Linked DNA regions of Mus musculus. The protein of the gene in region 1 purifies or fractionates together with the protein of each later gene. This does not show direct contact. Links are inferred from orthologs where the notes say so. Each region holds a gene or a part of one and is shown in the gene's direction. Other genes may lie near its edges.

Region 1 (3,500 bases):
CGCTTTGAGCTCCTGCTCCTCCTGTGTCTGGGCCGTGCTGTGAAGCTCTCTGGTTGGGTTGGTTTGATTCACTCCTTAGCAACTATTCTGACTTGCCCTGGTAAATTGAGGTTTTCAAAATAGCATAAGTGGAGATAGCAGTTAGCTGCCTCAGAGGTGGCTGTGAGGGGTTGCTGGGCGTGTGAGGAACAGAGGGAAGATTAGAGAGCTCGTGCTGTACCTGGGCACAAGTCAGCTTCTGTGGGACATTCTTGTTTTTAAAATTGCCCGTGTGTGTGTCTATATATGTGCCTGTGTGTCTGTGGGAAGGGGGCACTCGAGTCCGGCTCCCGTGTGTTCAGGAGGGGCCAGAGGCTGTCCGGATCCTTTCTTCGGTCTCCTCTGCCCTTTGAGCACACCTGCAGCTTGCTGACTTTTTTTGGCTAGGCTGGCCAGCCAGCAAGCCACAGCAGTCACTCTAAGACCTTCTACTCCGCTACAGCAGTGTAGCCCCAGTGTATGGCCATATTTAACTTTTTACTTGGGTTCTGGGGATTCGAACTCAGATCCTTATGTTTGTGCAACAATCACTCCTGACCCTCTGAGCCTTCCCCTGACTCTTCTTGGACATTTTTATTTAGTGTCGCAGTGTGCATGTGAATGTGGAGAGACCACATACATAGATAGATAGTTACATGAAGATACAGAAATTACATAATATTTGTGATCTCTAGAGCATCTCTGAATGGTGGTTTTGATTTGTAAAAGGAAGCCCAAACGGTCACTGTTACAGTTAACCTTTCCTAATTTGAAAGGCCAGCAGCACTTGACATTAAATCTCCTGCCGTTGAGAATGGCTTCCTTTCGGCGGTGACAGAGGAAGCCAGACGTTAGTATAACTATCACTGAGTAAAGAGGGTTGTTAGTTTCTCCCAGGGTCTTGTTTCTATTCCCACTAGCTGCAGAGAGGTGCAAAGAAAAGAGGGCACAGATGGCTTTAATGTGTTTCTTCTCGGGGATAGAAGCCAGTGCTGTTCCCGTCTTGGCACCTGCAGACTGATTTCATCTGTAGTAACTGACAGAGTCTGTGTAAGAGGAAATGGCTGAATGAAGACCCGACTTACACACGAGCACGCACATGCACATTCTTGACCTGCTCTTGTTTTTATTTTAAAAGAAAACTAAAATTCTGAACAAATTGGGGAATTGCTTTGGATTATAAAAATTTATATTGTGCTTATAATAAAAGAATTCCTATTCATTGCATATTTAAAAATATCATATAATCTTAATATTTTACAAACACCACTAATAATTAAATTTTCACATAACACCGTAGAAATATTTTTGTGAGCTCTGCTAGGTACACACGTGTAAGAGCACATCTGTATCTAGCAGAGCTCTTGCTACCTTTAAACTATTTTTATGCTAGAAGGACCAAAAGTTTGACAGTTAGAAATTACCGCTGTGAAATACAGCATCGGGTGGTCTCTAGGAGCCCTGGCTCTTCAGAGCTGTCAGCGAGCAGAGAGCAGGCGGTGGTGGCCTCTGGTTCCCTTAGACACTAGTCGTGCTGTTTCCACGGGGGAAACCTTTGTCCTGCGGTTAGCGCTTATTAACTCTCAGTTCACAAGCAGCTCGGTGATTAGGTTGCCTAGCACATAAGACATTAGAAGTGAGTGGTAGGAGGTGAAGGAGGCGGCGGGATGAGGGGAAAGGAAAACACTATTGGCGGTGATGCCTGATGTGGGCAGAAGGGACGGACCAGGAAAACGTACTTAGTGGTACACTTTCTTGTAGGGATTTGAAAATACCGCACTGTAAACAGTACACACAGGGTTAGCCTCCTCACTCCTTACCCTGTAGGAACTCACTTCTCATACGGGTACGCTGAAGTCTTACTTCTGTTTACTGAGTCACTCCGTGGATTCTATAGCTAAGACATTGACATAATCCTGGGCTCACAGTCAGATCTCAGGAAGGCAGCATTAGCTGAGTCTTACAGTGAGGTAAGTTTCAGGGGCTAACCGAGGAACTGTGTTGGTTTCCTTCCGCACAGGGTCAAGCCCGTAGTTATCCACAGTTCAAACCCAAGCACTCAGGATAATGAGTTTGCCTTAGAACCATGGCCAGAACCCAGCCCCTTTTGATAGCCAGCTACAAGTTCTTTCCCCTACTTTCCGCCTTACTTGATCTTTCAGTGTTTCATTTAAGAGTATAAGGATGTTTGGTGGTGCGTTTTAACTACACACACACACACACACACACACACACACACACACACACACACACACACACGAGTACTGGTGTGCACAGTATAAGGACTGACTCTAGGAGTTTTGGATGAGCCTTTCTTTGGTATTTTGCGTGTGTGTGTGTGTGTCTGTGTCTGTCTGTCTCTGTGTTCAGCTCTGAGTTTCCGCATGCCCGTACGTGGACTACTCTGCACGTAGAGTAGTGTATATAGTACATTACCTGAGGCCCCTGTCCTACAAGCTTGGCAAGCTGTTCACTGAGAGCAGCCTCATTCCCTTCCTACCTCCCACCCCCTTTAGTCGTCTTTGCTTCTCTAGACTTCTTCCTGCTTTCATATCATATGTGGTTTTTGTGTCTACATAAAAATCTAGGACCTACATACGAGAGAGAACATCTGTGTTTGGAACACTGACTCAATTCACCTATTGTAAACTTCAGTTTTCTTCCAAACAGCATAACCTCATTTTTCTTTATGGTGGAAAAGATTCCACTGTATACTGATGCACGTGAGCCCTTCCTCGGTGTCTGGGCACCTCAGTCGGTCCCGTCACTTAGGTACCGTGAGTAGCGCAGCAGCAAACACTGCAAGTGTGTCTGTGGTGAGTTGACATGGGTGTGTGAGGGGTTGAAAGGCAGCATTCAGCAGGGTCTTACTGAAGACGACATTGTAGGCACTGAGTGTCTGATTGCCTTAGAGCTGTCGGGGGACACAGTAAACACCGTTGTGTTCTCTCTCTCCTCTGCACAGCAAAGTGAAAAGGAGAGCTTGCTGAAGGAGCGAGACCACATTCTGTCAACGCTGGGGGAGACAAAGCAGAACCTGACCGGACTTTGTCAGCAGGTGTGCAAGGAAGCCGCCCTGAGCCCCGAGCAGATCCAGATCCTTGCCAAGTACTCGGCCTCCGACTGCCCGCTTTCCTTTTTAATTTCTGAGAAAGGAAAAAGTACTCCCGACGGCGAGCTTGCTTTTACATCGGTTTTCAGTGTGTCTGACGTGCCTCCAACTGCACCACCTCCCTGTGGGCGAGGGAGCAGCGCGGCCAGCCAGGAGCTGGTGCAGGAGTCCCCGCCAACCACCGCAGCTGCCCCAGAGCAGGCCACGCTGTTGGAACCCTGTCGGCAGAGTGCTGGGATCTCAGACTTCTGTCAGCAGATGTCTGACAAGTGCACTACTGACGAGTAAACCCCACGGGCAGCCTTCAGCCCATGGCCTCCCTCTGACCTTCGGCATTGTCTCGAAGCCTAGCGTGGCCGTGTCTTCTTGC
Region 2 (4,098 bases), on another chromosome or scaffold:
TCCTTGCTTTTAACCCAGGAAACAGAGGCAAAGACACTGTGTGACTGTACAGCCTCAGGCCTGGCCCCTGTCCTTATTACATGCAAGAGCTGGTTCGATTTGATAGAGGAAGGTAGTCTTCTGCATCCTGGATGCCAGAGTGGGGACACAGGAAGCTCTTGCCTTTGGGCTTGAATAACTTCCCTGAGAAGGCTGGAACCAGGGAAGGATGAAGAGAGGGAGGAGATCCTCACAGCAGTACTGGTTTGTTTTAAGTTTACAGAGGTAGAGGCAGGGGGTTAGAAAGCCAAGGTCATCCTTCGCTACAAGATATGAGAAAGGGAGAGAGAGAGAGAGTGAGAGAGACCTTTAAGCGAAGAAGTAGATACCACAGTGGATTAGTATATAGATGTATATGTATGAGCATATATGTATGTGTATATGTATATAGATATATATGTGTATGTTTGCAAGGTCTTCTGTGACCTCTCTTAGGATTGACACAGAATAAGATGGCTTCGAACTCCAGATTCTCCTACCCTAACCTCCCATGTGCTGGGAGTGTGCCACCACCCCCAGCTCTGCACCACTGAGAAAAAAAGACATTTATTTATTTTTATTTAATGTGTATGTTTGTGTGCTACGTATGCATACAGTGTCCGTGGATACCAGAAAGGGCATCATCAGATTCCCTGGAAGCATTATAGGTGGTTAGAGGTTGCCAGGGGAGACAGTGCTAAACCCAGATCCTCTGGAAGTGCTCTTAACTGATGAACCACCACTCCAGGCTCTATCTCTGTCTCTTTGTCTCTCTTCCTCCCCATCTTTTCCCTTCCTTCTCCCTCCCCCTCCCTCCGTCCCTCTGTCCTTCTCTCCTTCTCACTTGCTCTCTGTATTGATAAGTTAATGATTAGATGCAGGGTGGAGTGGCAATGAGGCTGATCACACCAAAATAAGCATGTCCAGGAGCAAGTCCTACCCCTAGTCCGAGTCCTTGAAGCACCATGTTATAGGGCACTCGGCAGGGGGCGTGCTCGGACAGTGCGGGGCTATGTCCCGGGTTGGCAGGGTTCTGGAGCCGCTAGGGCGGGGTAAAGTCAGATTTAAATTCCGCTCAGCCATCAGGCAGTGAGAGCAGAGGGTGGGCGGGTTCTGTCTCAGGAGCAACCAATAGCAATGAGGGGGCAGAGCCTTTGGTACGCATGGGAGACATCCAGCCAATGGGATTGCTGGGGCGGGGCGGCGAGCCAATAGAGCGGGCTGGTTTGATTCAAAGATGCCTATAAAAACTCAGACTACCACCGTAGACAAGTGGATCGGTTCTGGGCACTGCCATGGCTGCTCGCTTCGAGCTGTTGGACGACCTTCCCGCGGCCTGCCTGTCTCCGTGCGGACCGCCCAACCCCACGGAGCTGTTCAGCGAGGCGCGGCGTCTGGCTCTCGAGCAGCTGCTGGCCGGTGGTCCCGACGCCTGGGCCGCCTTCTTACGGCGTGAGCGGCTGGGCCGCTTCCTCAACGCCGACGAGGTGCGCGAGGTTCTGGGCGCTGCCGAGCGGCCGGGCGAGGATGGGGCGGCGGTAGCGGAGGACTCGTTCGGCTCCTCTCACGAATGCTCGTCGGGCACCTACTTTCCGGAGCAGTCGGACCTGGAACCGCCGGCGTTGGAGCTCGGCTGGCCTTCCTTCTACCAGGGTGCCTACCGCGGTGCCACGCGTGTCGAGGCTCATTTCCAGCCCCGCGGCGCGGGCGCCGGAGGCCCGTATGGCTGCAAGGATGCGCTGCGCCAGCAGTTGCGCTCCGCCCGAGAGGTGAGCGGCCCCCTGGCAGCGGGTAGGGGAGGAGCATCGGCCTTCTGAAAATTGAGTCATGTCGTAGTTCCAACTTCTGTTATTGGTACCCCTGGAACAGAGCGACTGTTAGTTCAAACCAAAGTGGATTGCAGAATTCCAGGGACGTCAGCTGACATTAGGTCTCACTTTCAGGAGCTAAGTAAAAGCTTAGTTTTACCCAAAAGATGATACCCGGAGACCATGGGGAGATCTGTAATTACCACTTTTCCACGCTTCTTAATGTTGTAGACAGATAAATTCGAGCAGTCGGTTTATCTCTTTCACTTCTGTGAGTGAGTCTGGTGGGAGATATTTTTAACCCACAGTGCCTGGGACTGTTCCAAGTAGCATTGATCCAAAATGCAAATATTTGTGCTTTAGATAAGCCACTGGTTACAATGGGTTTTTATCTTAGCTAGTGTCAGACTGCCCGATTGGCCTGGGGTGGAGTATAGAGTCTGGCCTGCCATAGATCAGGGAGAAAGGGCTCCACTTGGGAGGGTGTGGCTACAAGTTTGCATGCTGGTGAACACTGCTCCATTCCCAGACCTTTTGACTGCCTGGAACATGACGGGCAAAGCCTCAGACCATGTCAAGACTTAGTAGGCCTGGCACCGCTATATGTTAGGGTGCGGATCAGGTTGACATCACCAAGTCTAGGAGCAAGTTTGCGTTCTGTTTTTGTCTTTTGTTTTTTGTTTTCCTCTCTGCAAGACAAGGTCACTGTAACCCAGGCTTACCTGGAACTTACAGGCTTCAATTTCAGGCAATCCTCCTGCCTCTGCCTTCCTAGTGCCAAAGCCAAAGTTCTGATGCTGGTTCTGTACCTGACAGGCAGGACTTTGAGGATAAGAGTGTAGGTGACCAAGCTGTTCAGGGAATAGTATGGCTATGGCTGGATTCATGTTAATCCTGTGAGCTTTGGGTGGGCTGAGGGTCCGTTTGATGCTGGAAATGTTTCACTTGTGAGTTCAGTACAAAATTATAAAGCGTTTGGAAGAGGCAAAATTGTGGGCTAAGGGTGCATGCCCAAAGCTTCCCTCTGGGAGGAGAATTTGAGCACTCCTTGGGGACACCTTGAGAAGGAAAGACCTGGTCTCCAGGAAAGGCAGAGGTGTGGGCTGCTCTAACCTTTTGCTCAGTTGGGTGAAGGCACTAGAGCTAGAGGTCAGAAGGAAAACTTGCCTTAAAAGGGATCACAGCTACAGCAGACTTCCCTATCTTTCTTGCAATCTGAAAAACATCAGTGGATGGGGCCTCCTGCTTCCCTCTGTACCTACTTCCTTTACACCTCCCCTACATCCCTGTCTCTGGAAGCTGGGCGTTCCCACGGAGAAAGGTGGGAAACCCAATGAGCATTTTTTTGTATATATGCCCAAGTGCATACTTACCCAGAGTCTCCCAGCTGTCACACTGCCAGGGCTGGGGTCACAGAGGAGGGGGTGTGGTTCTCGTCCTTAGTTCATGGAGGACTGGGGATGAGGAAGGGGCTAGAAGAAAATCTGGAGTGGCGATGTCTGAGTTGGACTGAGAAGGAAGGATGGAACTAGCCTGTCTATGGAGAAGATAGGGACCAAAAGTCGAAAAGATGATGGGGGTGGTGTTCCTAGCAGTAAGCCTGGCGTGAAGGAGTTTAGATTTAGGAGGGCTGAGGTGGCAAGGAGGCCAGAGACATCCTTGTAAGAGGAAAGAGTCTGGATTAAGGCAGGGTGGGCAGGAAGCCAGTTTTAGGCAGAGTTCCCTGAATTTGAGACATGACGAACTGGAGTGGAAAGGCAGGGGAGGAAAGTATGTAGACAGCGAGGAAGCTTGAAGGCTGGGGGGGCGGGGTAGCTCTGTGGCAGGACGGACCTTAACATGCTGGAGGTCTTGGGTTTGAGCACACACTAAGGGGACAAGGGGGAGAAGGAAACACGTGGAAGGTTGATGGCTCTGCCGCCTCAGTTCCCGTAGAGAACAGCCGGGCTCTGCCTTCGAATGCTGGGCTTCCAGGCGTGTGCCGCCAAGCTGGCTGAGGCTGAGACTTGCTGGCCCTAGTTGGCAGTGACAGGACTACACTGGAATACATTAAGGAAAACAAGGACTGAGCTGGCCAAGGAGTGGGGTGTATAGGAATTAGGTTAATTTGAGGCATGAGGCTTTAAGAGGAAAAAAAAATGAGTCAATAAAAATTGTTTTCTCACCGCCTTTAATCCCAGCAGGCAGACACAGGCACATCTCTATGAGTTTGAGGCTAGCTTGGTCTAAATTGCAAGTTCCAGGCCTACAAAAGCTATATGGGGTGTGGGGT
Region 3 (4,295 bases), on another chromosome or scaffold:
CAGAGGTTTAATCCATTATTGTCATGGAGAGTAGCAAGACTGAATCAGGGCCGACTTGCTGCTGGAGGATGGGCTTAGTTAGAGTTCTGCATTCTGAAGGCTGCAAGAAACTGTAAGTCACACACGGGCATAGCTTGAGTATATAAGACCTCAAAGCCTGTCCCCACAGAGACAATCGTCTTCCAACAAGACCACACCTCCTAATAGTGCCATTCCCTATGGGCCAAGCATTTAGACACGGCATTTAGAATTCATGCAGGCCATTTCTATTCAAACCACCACAAGGCATAAGGAGTAATTCTCTGTATTCTGAGACTCTGGCTACAGCCAGTGAAAGATAAAAGCTCCCCCCCCCCCACTCCCCAAAGAAATACAATGTAAAGAATTACTTTTTGAGGCTGGGTGTGGTGGCACATGTTTTTAATCCCAGCACTAGAGAGGCAGAGGCAGTCGGATCTCTGAGAGTTTGGGGCCAGCCTGGTCTAAACCTTGTCTCAAGAAACCAAATTTGACACAAAGGACACACACAGGCCCCCTCCAGCCTGCTTACCCCCTTTTCCTTGTCACCTATGTTACAGAACGAGTCACCTTTTCACGATTCCCAGAGAAGACAGGGTCAAATAGAACGTTCAGAACCTCGAAATGAAAACTTGATCCCTCCTACTTTCCTTCTTTTTTACTTTTTCAACAGCAGCGAGAAGTCTCACAGAAAAAGTAGCAGCAGAATGCACCCAAAGTAGTTTCAAATGCGGCAGAGAAGGGTTGGGCAAAGTGCACAACTCCTACAGTGCACGCACACTACCCGAAGAGATGGTCCACGGCCGCAGGTGAAGCCCCTAGCACCCTCCGGAGATTAGAATCATTAGTGAGCGTCCTCCAAGCCTTCGTGTCATCGTGGATAGTTTGGGGATCTGAGCTGGGGTTGGGGCTGTGCCCCTCAACAGCCGTGTCCTTTTCAGACTGCTGACCCATTTAGAATGAGGACGTCGCAGCAGAACGGGGTAAGGAACTAAATCACTGTGTCACACCTTCAAAACAGCAAATAGGTTCCCGCGTGGTGACGCTCATCTGTGAGTTCCGCTTTCAGGGGGCCGAGGCAGGAGCATCTCAGGGAATTGAAATCCAGTCTGCTCGCTGTACAGTGAAACTATGCATCCAAGTGAAGAAAATCAAACAAACCTCCCATAGACCTCGGTCTGAGTTGGTGTGGAGATCGGGAGGGAGCTAGAGGCATCCGAGTTGGGGCCACTCCGTAGAACCTGTCTCTGCAGGAGCACGGTCAACCCGGCGAGCGCCGGGACGACTCCCGCGAGACATTGCCAGGGCGCGGCGGGCGTTGCCAAGGGCAACGGCGCGGGGCTGCGCAGGCGTGATGGGGGCGCGCTCGCCTTGCTGCCGCCTCGCCTTTCCCTTTAAGCTTAGGCCAGCCGCGTCGCCGCTTCATGAATGGAACCCACGTGACCAAACATCATGTGACGTCTGAGGAGCGGCGGCGGCGGCGGATTCTGAGCCCGGTCCGGCCCGGCCTTCCCAGCGCGCTTGGCCCGGCCCGCGCAGGCGGCCAGTCCTCCTAAGCCCCCGGCCCGGACCCTTCGCGCCCGCCCCAGCCCCGCGCAGCCCCGGAGCGCGCGCGCGCGGCCCCGCCCCAGCCCCGCCTTGGCCCGCCCGGGCCCGCAGTGTGGTGAGTGCGCGGGGCTGGGGCGGGCGGCGGGGCCTGGCCTCGGGGTTGCGGCGCACCCGACGGCAGCGCGTGCCTTGGTTTCCCCGCCAGCCGGCTGTTCGCCTGTGTCCCCCTAGAGCCGGCGGACCGGGCGACCGCGAGGCTGGGGACGGGCGTGCGCGCGGCGGCGGACCCCGGGTGCCCTGCGGGGGGCGCGATTTAAGGGCGAGCTGCGCGCGTCTGCCCGGGTCAGCGGGGTGGCCGCACCGAGCTGCTGACTCATCAGGTGTCCGTCGGCTTCCGCGCGGGCGGGGTCGCGCGCGGGCCCACAGGGGAGGCGGCGGGGAGACCCTGCTGCGCGGCTTGGGCTCGCCACGCGGGTGCGAGCCCAGCGGAGACGTGCTGAGTCATCAGCATGAGGTCACTCGGTGCTCCTGCTGACGCTGGGCCAGGGCGGGGGGCCGGGGCCCGCTATCGGCCGGTCTAGTCGGGAGACAGGGCTCGATCCGGGTGGTGAAGGTCGGGCCGGGATCCGGGGTCGTGTTTAAGTTTGACAGACCTGTGAGTTGGAGGCAAAGGCTCCGAAGGAGGCATTGCAGGGGCGCGCCGCAGGTTTCTCCCGGGGTGGAAGGTAAAGCCCCGGGCGTGCGCATCCTTGCCTGGTTCTTGGGCTCCTGGCCCGGGTCCCACAACTGGGGCAGTTCCCCAAACCCGGAGACCGATCGGTGTACGCTGAGGGGAGGAGCTTAGGTGGGCCGAGCCAGCTCGTCTGGGAAGCAAGCTTTCCTTCTCTGTGACCCTGAATGGCCAGGCTTCGTCGGTCCTAGATGGGGAAGACCGGGAGGCAGGGGGAGAAGGGTCTGTGGCTTGAAAGAAGCTGGGGCAGCTCTAACCAGCTAAGGAGAGCAGAGTGTGGATCTAGGCAGCTGGTGAGAGTTTTTGAGGTGCAACCATGGAGTAGAAGATGTAGTTTTATTTATCCCAATGTTATTCCTTTCAGAAGAGTTTGGGGTCCCACTGTTGCCTGGAGTTACCAAAAAGTGTGTGTGCCCTGTTGGGTGTCTGGAGACTCTTGGGAGGTGACAGTTTTGTGGGGTGTGGCTGAATGGCTGTTTACTGACTTATCTGTCGTGAAGGTTCTTGAACTCCATCCTACTGCTTTCCTTGCCCAGGGATTCATGTCTAGACTGTGCTTACCTTGTGGTTTGTGCTAAGGGATGTCCCCTTAACCCTGAGCCCTGAGGCTGCTCATAGGTGCAGTGTTTTTTTCATTTGGTGTGGAACTTGCCCTATGAAACTTCAAGGTTCCAGAAAATTGTTAAACTCCGGAGGCACTGTGCTTCAGTGAACTTAATGTTTTCCGTTCTCTTCAAACAATGTCAGTACCTGAAGGAGAGAAGACCTACGTAGGGGGTCTCCTGCATTGAGGTTTACAGGCAAGGTTTAGCAAGGAAGGGTCACTATCTTGCTTGAGACTAATGTCCAGATTGTCTAGTGTGAGAGGACAGAGGTGCCCAAACCCCTTCTTTAAGGGTCAGCCTGAATGAGTGGTCCAGAGCCCCTTGGTGTCTTGAGTCTGTCCATAACTGTGAGTACTTGGAGGGCTGAGTTGGAGGCAGCAGGTCCAGATCAGCTTCTCTGAGCTTCTTCCTCAGGCTCTGGAAAGCTCTCTAAACTGTATCCCTCAGCACAGCTGTCCCCCCCAGAACTGTCTGCCTAGTCACTGTGTCCCTAGGTTTGCAGAAGCCAGGCAGGTAGCTGGAAGAATTGGCTTTCCTGAGACCTGCCCTTCCCCCTTAAGCACACATGCGTATAAACATGTACACACACTCGCTCTAACACACACACATTCTCTCTCTCTCTCTCTCTCTCTCTCTCTCTCTCTCTCTCTCTCTCTCTCTCTCTCTCTCTCTCTCTCTCTCTCTCGTGCACCTTTGATCAGGAGGCAGTTGGCTGCACTTGTGCTGAGTTCAGGCCTTTGGTGGAGGTAAAATCTGTTGAGAAGGCACTTTTCAGCTCCCAGCCGCCACACTCTGCACTTTCCTGTGCGATCTCAGGAAGTCACCGTTTTGAGCTCAGCAGTCTGTATAAGGGAAGCTCCTGCCAGGACTGTCCCCTCACCTCGACTTATGCTCCTAGTGTGAGTATAGGGCCAACTTGTAAGAAAGACAGATGCCCTTCAGACCTCTAGATCTGAGTTCTGCCTTTCTCTTTGATCTAGCAGTACTGTTGCCTCTGAAAATGCTCCTAATCTAGTCCTGTAGATTTAGTCCTGGTTTGCTTGCTCAGTGTTTGCATGTAGCCACACCTCCTGTTCAAAGCTAAAAGCAGTAGGGTAAAGCTAATGAGAATGTGTTAGTTCCTTTGATAAGATGAACCAACTCCCCATCCAGCACATTTTTGCCTGAAGTGCTCACAGACCTGCAGCAACCTCACTTCCCTCATTTCCCTGCACCTAACCTGGAAAGGAGAGGATGTGCCTGTGGGACTGGTGGGTGTTGGGCTAAGTGGGGATTCCCAGCCTAGGTACACAAGAATGTCCTTGGCAAGGCTTTAGAAAGCTGAAAATGAGGTTGAGCCCGGAGGGGCGGCTGACTGTAGGAGGGACCTGTTTTGCTTTTGTTCCCTGGCCCTG
Region 4 (4,082 bases), on another chromosome or scaffold:
TAATAAATTCTTAACCAAAAACGGGGAAATGTGACCAGATTAAAAATTTGGTGAAATTAGGTAACTTCACACACCTTTTCACTACGATGAAGATCAACATGCAAGAAACTTGTTATTTAGAAAACCAATCTGACATCTTGGAATCCTCATCCCATTACCCTAGCCTTGCTTGTAAGTGCCTGTATTAGCCTACACGTCATGAACAGAGTTCAGAATCCTTTTGTCTAGTCTCTGGGACTCCCATCGGTGCCCAGAAGACGCATATTCGTTCTTTTGACCTACTTAGCCTTCTGTCAGCAGGAACTCCGGAGGAAATAAAAGCACCCCAAACCTATTTTAGAAATAAAGTGGAGAACAAAATCTTTGAGTTCTACCCGCGCAAAATCTGCTCTGTGGGTGCAGTGCTCCGTGGAGACCCCTCGCCAGAACAATTTACCACTTCTTTCTACCAGCCAGGAACTAACCTTGCCACACCCAGCAGTCATCCCTCTGACACCGTGAATTTTAGGGCTCGGGGTGCGGGAAAGCCAGAAGAAGGAACTCGGGACAAGCCCTGGCTTGCTACCTTGAGGATCTCGCGGCCACCCACGGCCAGAGCCACGTGCCGACTCTGCAGGCCGCACTGGATGTCCTGCGCGCGAGTGCCGGGGGGCACCTGGACTTCAATGAACACCTCCTCCAGGGTCTGGTACCACTGTCCCCACGGAGTCCCGCAAGGAACCACCCCGCTGCGCTCCTCAAACGGGGCGGACATTCTGAAGACGCCACGCAGGCACACGGCTCCGGGAGAGCACTACACCGGCGGGACTAGGCTCTGGGCTTGCCCTCGGCGCCTTGGGGTCACTGCACATGCGCAAGAGTCCAAACTGGCGTGTCCGAGTGTGCAAAATTCTCCCTTTCAGAGCCCATTTAAGACACTCGTGAGCCCTGGTGAAATCGACCGAAGCCTAGAGATGTTGACATCCAAAGAACACTGACGCCGGAACAAAGGAGAAAAGTGCCTGCGATCTTTAAACCTGTGTGACGCCAAAATTCCGACGCGTCCACCGGCCTGTGAAGTGCGCTTGCGCGAACTGGGCTACCCAGTAAAACTGAGTAAAACCAGAAGTGATTGGATAGAGCTGTTTGCGGCGACGATCAGGAGCAGCCTCTTATTGGCTACTAGCTTAAACTTACAAACCTTCCGATTGGGCGGCGGTAGGAATCTAGTGCGCATGCTCTTTGGACCATGCAGGATTGGCCAGATAGGTTTAGGTTTTCTGATTGGCTGAGGGGGAAAGTTGAGGTAAATTTGAATTCAGGCGAGCTGACAGTTTGCTGGGGCGTTTGATTGCTGTCTCATCTGGACCCAGGCGTCAGAATGTCCTTTCCTAAGGCGCCCCTGAAGAGATTCAATGACCCTTCGGGTACGTACGGGTGGGGGAACAGGGTGGGAAGGGGATGTGCCCTCGTTTCCCAGTCATTCGAAAGCCAGGTTAGGGCTGGGGCGGTGTTTGTTTTTCTCCAAATTCACGCAGTAAACACCTGGTTAGCGCAGTGTGGGATGGTAGAGACGCGGCCCTACGTGAAATGAGGTCATCCCTGCACACAGCGAGTCTTCAAGCGTGAGATTCCAAAATATGCCATCAACACCATGGAGAAACCACAGCTGGTTGAAGGGGATTAGGAGTTGGCAGGCGCTACTTTTCTTTTTAAAAAGAAGTTACTCTCTTTAGAATTTTCTGCATTGACATTGCATTCAGATATAAAAGCATAAAGACTGAGAAATCTGTTCAGTAAAGACAGCTGCCCACGGATTCTTTTCCACTCGTGAAACAGTTCTTTGGAATTTCTTTTTTAATATTTTATTTTTTTAAGGTTGATTTATTAACATGAGTATACTGTAGCTGTCCTCACACACCAGAAGAGGGCCTCAGATCCCATAACAGATGGTTGTGAGCCACCATGTGGTTGCTGGGATTTGAACTCATGACCTTTGAAAGAGCAGTCAGTGCTCTTACCCACTGAGCCATCTCATGAAACAATTCTTAAGTAATGTTCAGCATTTTAACAATAGAATAGTGGAACTTGGTGTGTAGATGACAGAGTAAATTGAGTGTAGATGGTGATAGCATTTAAACAGTTAGAATAAAGTAATTTTTAATGTTTTCACCTGTAAGAAATAGACACTTCCAGACCTAGTGGCCTGAGCTACATAGACTGTCAGTAACTCACACCTACAACAAATTAATAGCATGTTGGAAGTAAATGAAAAATGAGACTGAAATCCACTCAATTTTATGAAACTAAATTGGCAGAAATGGAGTGGGAACCCAGACTTCCAAGGATATATGCTATGCTCTTAAGGGCTGTGGTTTATGCACAAGTAACTAGAGCCTTGGGTGTGAGGTGATAGATGCTAACTGTGCAGCTGTACTGTCGTAAGGTCTATATGTTATTCCTTTGAACAGCTAGACGAGAAAAGTACCAAAGTTGTACTCTTTACAAATGAGAACATTGAGAGAGTTTCTGACTATATTATGCAGCCAGCAAGTAAGTGATGGAGCGGAAGATGAAAGGCCGGTTTATATCCTCTGTAGCATGTACTGGTTAGTAGTCTCTATCTGGTTTCTATCAACGTTCCTCCATTCACAAGGTCAAGTGAGTGATCAGACACAGCCATCTCCATGGCCACACCATTTCCAGGGAACTCAGACAACTTAGGTTCTACAGAACAGGGTAGATGTTTTTGTTTTGAGACAAGGTCTCTTGTAGCACAGGCTAGCCTTGTACTCCTGCTGCCACCTCCCAAGTACTGAAACTTAAGAGACCTGCACAACACACATGGCTCAGCTGCTGTTTGGTTTTAAGGAGCAGTAGTTAAGGCTTACAGTGTCAAAGATAATATGTCAGATATTTAATATTTGTAAGTCCATGGCAGCTTTTTCTACCTCAAGGAAACTTAAAGCATCCTGGGATAAAGGAGGGAATCTAACTTTTTTTTTTTTTAAAATTTGGTGTGTTCTCCCTATGTCTACAAAGTGTCTGGCATGGTATTTTCTGTAGCTTGTCAGACACAGGTGATTTTGAGTACTCCTGTGGCTAATTACAAAAGCCTAGTCCATTCTCACATCCCAAACAAGATATTTTTTTTCTATACTGCTCAACATAACTATGAGCTAAATACTAGAAGAATAGAAGCTACTCCCAAATTGCAAGCACTTAAGTCTAATGTAGAGATAAAGTAAATAAGTCCTTATGAAAGCATAATAAGCTGTTAGGAATTATAGACAGTGCTATGAGAATTTTCTAGCCTGATTTTTTTTGAGGGGGGGGGGGGGATTCTGCAAAAGCTAGATGGCCACATGGAGATCTGGAAGGTGAATGAGAATGGGCTGAACAAAATTGAAAGTAGATTTTAAATTCTATAAGAGAGCAGGCTGAAGCCGGGCATGGTGGTGCACGCCTTTAATCCCAGCACTAGGGAGGCAGAGGCAGGCGGATTTCTGAGTTCAAGGACAGCCAGGGCTACACAGAGAAACCCTGTTTCAAAAAAACCAATAAATAAATTAATTAATTAATAATAATAATAATAAAGACCAGGCTGAGCAAGCCAGGGAAAGCAAGCCAGTGAAGACTATCCTTCCATGGCCTCTGCATCAGCTCCTGCTTCCTGACCTGCTTGAGTTCCAGTCCTGATTTCCTTTGGTGATGAACAGCAATGTGGAAGAGTAAGATGAATAAACCCTTTCCTCTCCAACTTGTTCCTTGGTCATGATGTTTATGCAGGAATAGAAACCCTGACTAAACCAAATTGGTACCAACATAGTGAGGAATTCCTGTGACAGCCTGACCATGTTTTCTGGAGGACTATGGAAGGAATTTGGAACTTTGGGCTAGAAGAACCATTGGGATGTTAAGAGCTCTGTGGGATGTTGTGTAGGAGCTTGGAAGATAATGTTGAGAACAGCACAGAAGATGGAGGCCTGGCTTGTGAAATTTCAGAGGGAAGACTCTTATCAGGGCTGTTGCTGTATTGATTGTGAAGGTTCTGTGGTTTTGGTTAGCTGGGGCTGAAGAATCAGCTGTGATTAACAAGATAC
Region 5 (4,258 bases), on another chromosome or scaffold:
GTTCTGTGTGTGCTCTTGCCCCCACCGAAGCCTATGGAAAACAGCCATATGTCCATGCATCCCCAAGTCAGAGAGATATGGCTTTCTGTCTGTTGTGGTTTGAATATGTTAGGCCCAGGAAGTGGCACTATTAGGAGGTATGGCCTTGTTGGAATAGGTGTCTCACTGTGGGTGTGGGCTTTAAGACCCTCATCCTTACTGCTTGGAAGTCAGTCTTCCTAGCAGCCTTCAGATGAAGATGTAGAACTCTCAGCTCTGCCTGCACCATGACTGCCTGGATGCTACCATGATCCTTGATGATAATGGACTAAACCTCTGAACCTATAAGGCAGCCCTAACTAAATGTTGTCCTTATAAGAGTTACCTTGGTCGTGGTGACTATTCACAGCAGTAAAAACCTAACTAAGACACTATCCATTGCTTACAGGGAGAGGGAGAGGGGGGAGGGGGAGGGGAGGGGGAGGGGGAGAGGGAGAGGGAGGGAGGAGAGGGAGGGAGGAGAGGGAGAAGGGGGGAGGGGGAGGGGGAGGGGGAGGGGCAGGCTTAGGTGAAGGCACTTAGGGTGAAGGCAGAAGGATTAAGAGCTTCAAGACAGTGCCAGTGAGGTGGCTCAGTGGGTAAAGGTACCAAGTCTGAGTTCAATTTTCGGAACCCAAAAGTGGAAAGAAAAAACAGATTCCCTAAAGTTGCCCTCTGACTTCCACACATTCGTGGTAGTGTGTGCACACCAATCCACATACATATGAACACACATATAAATAAGTAAAAAAAAAAAATAAAGTTTTATAAGTGTTCCAGGCCACTCTGAGCTGCACAGTGAGACCTTACCTCTGTCTCAGATATAAATCAAAAGGTCATGGTATGGGTCAGAAGAGGATGCTACATACATATCTCTTTCTCCTTTGTAGGGTGCATCTGCCTTGCTGATTATGTGGTGTAACTGAGCCACTTCGCCACCTTGACGTGGGCTTGGTGTTAGGTCCAGAACATGGTCACTAGCCAGTTGGCCTCTATTCTCTCTGCCAAGACCCGGGGAGGCTCCAGCAGCCTCAGGATCACAGTGAGTAGCATAGACGACAGTGGGTGACATAGAGACATAATGCCCAGGCTGAAAGTTCAAGGAAACGTGGGGTCCATACCCAGTGTGCGTCACGCTCGCCTGACACCCCCTACCTTGGGAAAGGAGCACAGACCCCGCCCCGGGTGTGTTGGGGATGGACAGGGCCAGGAGCTCAGCAATGAGACAACTGCACGTGGAAGCATGTAGGAGGACCCAGGGACTGGGGCAGCGAGGGGCGTGGCCATCAGGGGCGTGGTGCCGACGCGCGGCCAGAGAGGGCGTGGTTTTGGTGAGCGAAGAAGCGTGAGCAACAGGGGCGTGATCACTAGGGGCGTGGCCATCGCGGGGGCGGGGCGGTGACGCGCTTCGACGCGCGATCCCGGAAGCGGTGTCAGTACTGGGGAGCCGGCGGCGGGCGGCGGGTGGCAGGGACTTGTTGTTCTTCGCCGAGTCGGAACGAGAAGTCCGAAGCGCGCAGGCGGAGACGGCGACTAAGGGGAGCGCGAGAGCAGAAGCGCTTGTGAAGAGTGCGTGTCCGCAAGGAGCCGCCGCGCCCGGCCCCGCGCGCGACCCGGGTGAGTGAGGGGCTTCGGGAACTGGGTAGGGGAACCCAGAGTTCGTGCACCTGCGGGAGGAGCACCCCGAAGGCCGCGGGACCCAGCCTGGGCCTCGAGCACGTGCCACGCGGGACCTAGCTCAAGGCCCACACGGGACCCACCACGTGCGGGAGAGTGGCACCCGGGAGCCGTGCGCACCTGGCCATTTCCGTCGGCGTAGAATTCGCCCCCACCTCGCCCCCGGCCGGGACCCCGAAAGGGCCTGAGTAACTGGTGTCACTTTCTAATCAGCTGACCGGCCAGCGGTGCCGGATGTGGAAGCTGTGGGTGGGGAGCGAGGCAGGTGACCGTCTTGGCCAGCCTATCGCTTCCGTCACTTTCTTCAGGTGTGGTCTGGGGCCAAGGTCCCATCCAACTCTGAAGTGCGAGGTTCCCTAGTAGGGTGAGCGGATAGGCGTGTTAAGAGTGTGCATGTTTACGAGCGTGCGGCGAGAAATCAGAAGCAAAAACTCTAGCAAATTACAGGTGAAGAAAGCCTCGTGGGTCCTAGGTGCCTAGATTAGATCTCTTTGGGGGAGATAGACTCCTCTTCTGGTATCCTTGAGATAACAGCCACTCCAGCCTCCTAGAACTTGCCCCGTAAGAACGCAGTCGGTATTTGGGAGGTGAGGCTGCTTGGTGCTCTTGTTTCTCTAGGGAAGTTAGTCTGAGCCTCGCTTTTCACACAGCTCTCATTGCTAACACAGATGCACTTTAACAGTTCGCCTTCCAATTGATGGACAGGCACTCAGTACACTCAGTCCTCAAAAGCTAGCTTGTGTCTCAGCTGGTAGGTAGTTCACCCCTTCCACTCCTGTGGAGTCACTAAAATTAGCCCTGGGACCCCAGAGGTTGGCACTGCTGAGGTCATACTGTGGCAGCAACATTTCAGAAGGTATCTGGTGGAGTGCACGTGGGTACTTTGATGCTTTGAGCTGGTGTTTTAGGGCCAGGTAACTTCTTTCAAAGGTGTTGGTCTAAAGCCATTATGTTATGGTGGCACATGCTTGTACTCCTAGCACATGGGAGTCTGAGGCAGGAAGATCTTGAGTTTAAGGTTAGCCTGGATTGCTTAGCTAGTTCAAGACCAGCCTTAGTTACATAGCGAGACACTGTCACACAAAACCAAACTGAAACAGTAGGTGTGAATTTAAGCATGTGGATGGAGTCAAGAAAGCTGTATAGGCAGGACCTACCTGCAGCCCATGTCACTGGGGACAGCCCTCACTGATGACAAAAACCTTCCTCTCTCCTTAGATAAATCACGAGAAATGTGGTGTTTGACCTTGGTAAAGGGAATGTGTCTAATGTGATAACTTCTTGTGATTCCAAAAGAAAAGATTTACTAGACAAAACACAAAGCCAGGCTTTGCTGGAGTACATTCTCCTCTTGTTCTCCAACTGAGCTGGGCTTGCAGGGCCCTGTTCCAAGTTCAGGGCTGTGTACTTTCCAGGTAGTTGCTAAAAATGGACGTTGGATGGAGGGTCTGGGGAGGCTCTGTTTTCCCGAGAGTCTGCTGTTTCTGTGTCCCAGCCCTTTCTCTAGCACCTCAAGGCTTCTGGTGAGTCTTTTCTGGCCATTACTTCCTAAGGACCCTCAGTTTTTAGTCCCTGGCTCTACCAGCCCCAGGGCTTGTTTACAGTCTCTGCTAACTCTTTCTTGCAGTCTAGACTAAGAAGTTGTGTCTGTTTTTGCCCCGGCTGTTCTGAGTCTAAAGGTTTCTTGGGGTGGACTTTCTGGATCTCGGGTCTAGTCCACACGGGAAATGGAAATCAGGCCAGCTGGGAGAATTCTCTGTGTGGCCGATCTCTGGAGCTATAAACAGTGACTCATTCTCCCGCCCCACCCTCCCTGTCCCCTGCTCCGCTCCGGGAAGATGCCTGGTCACTCATATTTACTTTTGCTTTTTATAAGTCACACACATGCGTTCTGTTTCCTCTTTCCTGCAGTTTCAGGAAACTGAAAGTGTTATCTGAAAACCTATAGAGTTTCACAGAGGTAGACCTGAGCCCCAGTGATCAAACACCACACTGCTTGGTGTTGGGGAGGATACTACAGCCTTGCTTGCTTGATGGCCTGGCCTGAGGTCAGAGGTCAGGGTTAGAGGATAGGGGCTGTTGTGTCTGATGACACACCTGTCAGCTCTTCCTTGGGGCTGTCTGGTATGGTAGGGGGAGAGCACACACCCTCCGCTCAGCTTCCTTTTTTGTCTGAGTCCCCGCCTCTGTCTGTCTATAAAACAGACCTTGATACCCTGAAGGAGCTGGTATCAGCAACACACGCTCTCTGCTTAACAGAAGTTGATTGTGCATGGAAGCTGCTGAAAGAATGTTCTAGAACCAGGTCTAGGTCCAGGGAAAAGGCTGACTTTCCAAAGACAGCAATTAGGAGGGCTTTCAGGAAGAAGTGGAAGTTGAGGCTAGAGTGGAGACCCCATATCCATCATAGCCAGGAACACTCACCAGCCAAAGAAGGAAGCCCAGACAGGGAAGCTCAGAAGGGCACCCCAAGACCTATGTTATCTGTGGGACTAAGTCTGAGGCACCAAGATCAGAGTTGGGGATCTGTTACACCAAGGTCCAGAGAAGAACTGGACCGTGC

Evidence for each region.
Region 2: the proteins of Bach1 (region 1) and Fam83d purify together in Homo sapiens (co-immunoprecipitation; 3 studies listed by BioGRID and IntAct, counting the BioPlex papers as one, with this or other methods). This does not show direct contact. The link is inferred for Mus musculus from reciprocal best matches to the Homo sapiens genes BACH1 and FAM83D.
Region 3: the proteins of Bach1 (region 1) and Mafg purify together in Homo sapiens (affinity purification with mass spectrometry; 5 studies listed by BioGRID and IntAct, counting the BioPlex papers as one, with this or other methods). This does not show direct contact. The link is inferred for Mus musculus from reciprocal best matches to the Homo sapiens genes BACH1 and MAFG.
Region 4: the proteins of Bach1 (region 1) and Hmmr purify together in Homo sapiens (affinity purification with mass spectrometry; 6 studies listed by BioGRID and IntAct, counting the BioPlex papers as one, with this or other methods). This does not show direct contact. The link is inferred for Mus musculus from reciprocal best matches to the Homo sapiens genes BACH1 and HMMR.
Region 5: the proteins of Bach1 (region 1) and Mafk purify together in Homo sapiens (affinity purification with mass spectrometry; 6 studies listed by BioGRID and IntAct, counting the BioPlex papers as one, with this or other methods). This does not show direct contact. The link is inferred for Mus musculus from reciprocal best matches to the Homo sapiens genes BACH1 and MAFK.

What each region holds. Positions count from the first base shown.
Region 1 is NC_000082.6:87,726,454-87,729,953, forward strand, and holds part of Bach1 (transcription regulator protein BACH1), read left to right. Parts: intron 1-2,983; coding exon 2,984-3,418; 3' UTR 3,419-3,500. UniProt on the Homo sapiens protein: Transcriptional regulator that acts as a repressor or activator, depending on the context. Binds to NF-E2 DNA binding sites. Plays important roles in coordinating transcription activation and repression by MAFK.
Region 2 is NC_000068.7:158,766,801-158,770,898, forward strand, and holds the start of Fam83d (protein FAM83D), read left to right. Parts: upstream 1-1,298; 5' UTR 1,299-1,313; coding exon 1,314-1,787; intron 1,788-4,098.
Region 3 is NC_000077.6:120,630,748-120,635,042, reverse strand, and holds the start of Mafg (transcription factor MafG), read left to right. Parts: upstream 1-1,495; 5' UTR 1,496-1,681; exon of another isoform or gene 1,682-4,295. UniProt on the Homo sapiens protein: Since they lack a putative transactivation domain, the small Mafs behave as transcriptional repressors when they dimerize among themselves.
Region 4 is NC_000077.6:40,730,638-40,734,719, reverse strand, and holds the start of Hmmr (hyaluronan mediated motility receptor), read left to right. Parts: upstream 1-1,282; 5' UTR 1,283-1,360; coding exon 1,361-1,406; intron 1,407-4,082. Other genes in the region: Nudcd2 (nudC domain-containing protein 2), read right to left, coding at 566-754. UniProt on the Homo sapiens protein: Receptor for hyaluronic acid (HA). Involved in cell motility. When hyaluronan binds to HMMR, the phosphorylation of a number of proteins, including PTK2/FAK1 occurs.
Region 5 is NC_000071.6:139,790,078-139,794,335, forward strand, and holds the start of Mafk (transcription factor MafK), read left to right. Parts: upstream 1-1,458; 5' UTR 1,459-1,635; intron 1,636-3,629; exon of another isoform or gene 3,630-4,258. UniProt on the Homo sapiens protein: Since they lack a putative transactivation domain, the small Mafs behave as transcriptional repressors when they dimerize among themselves.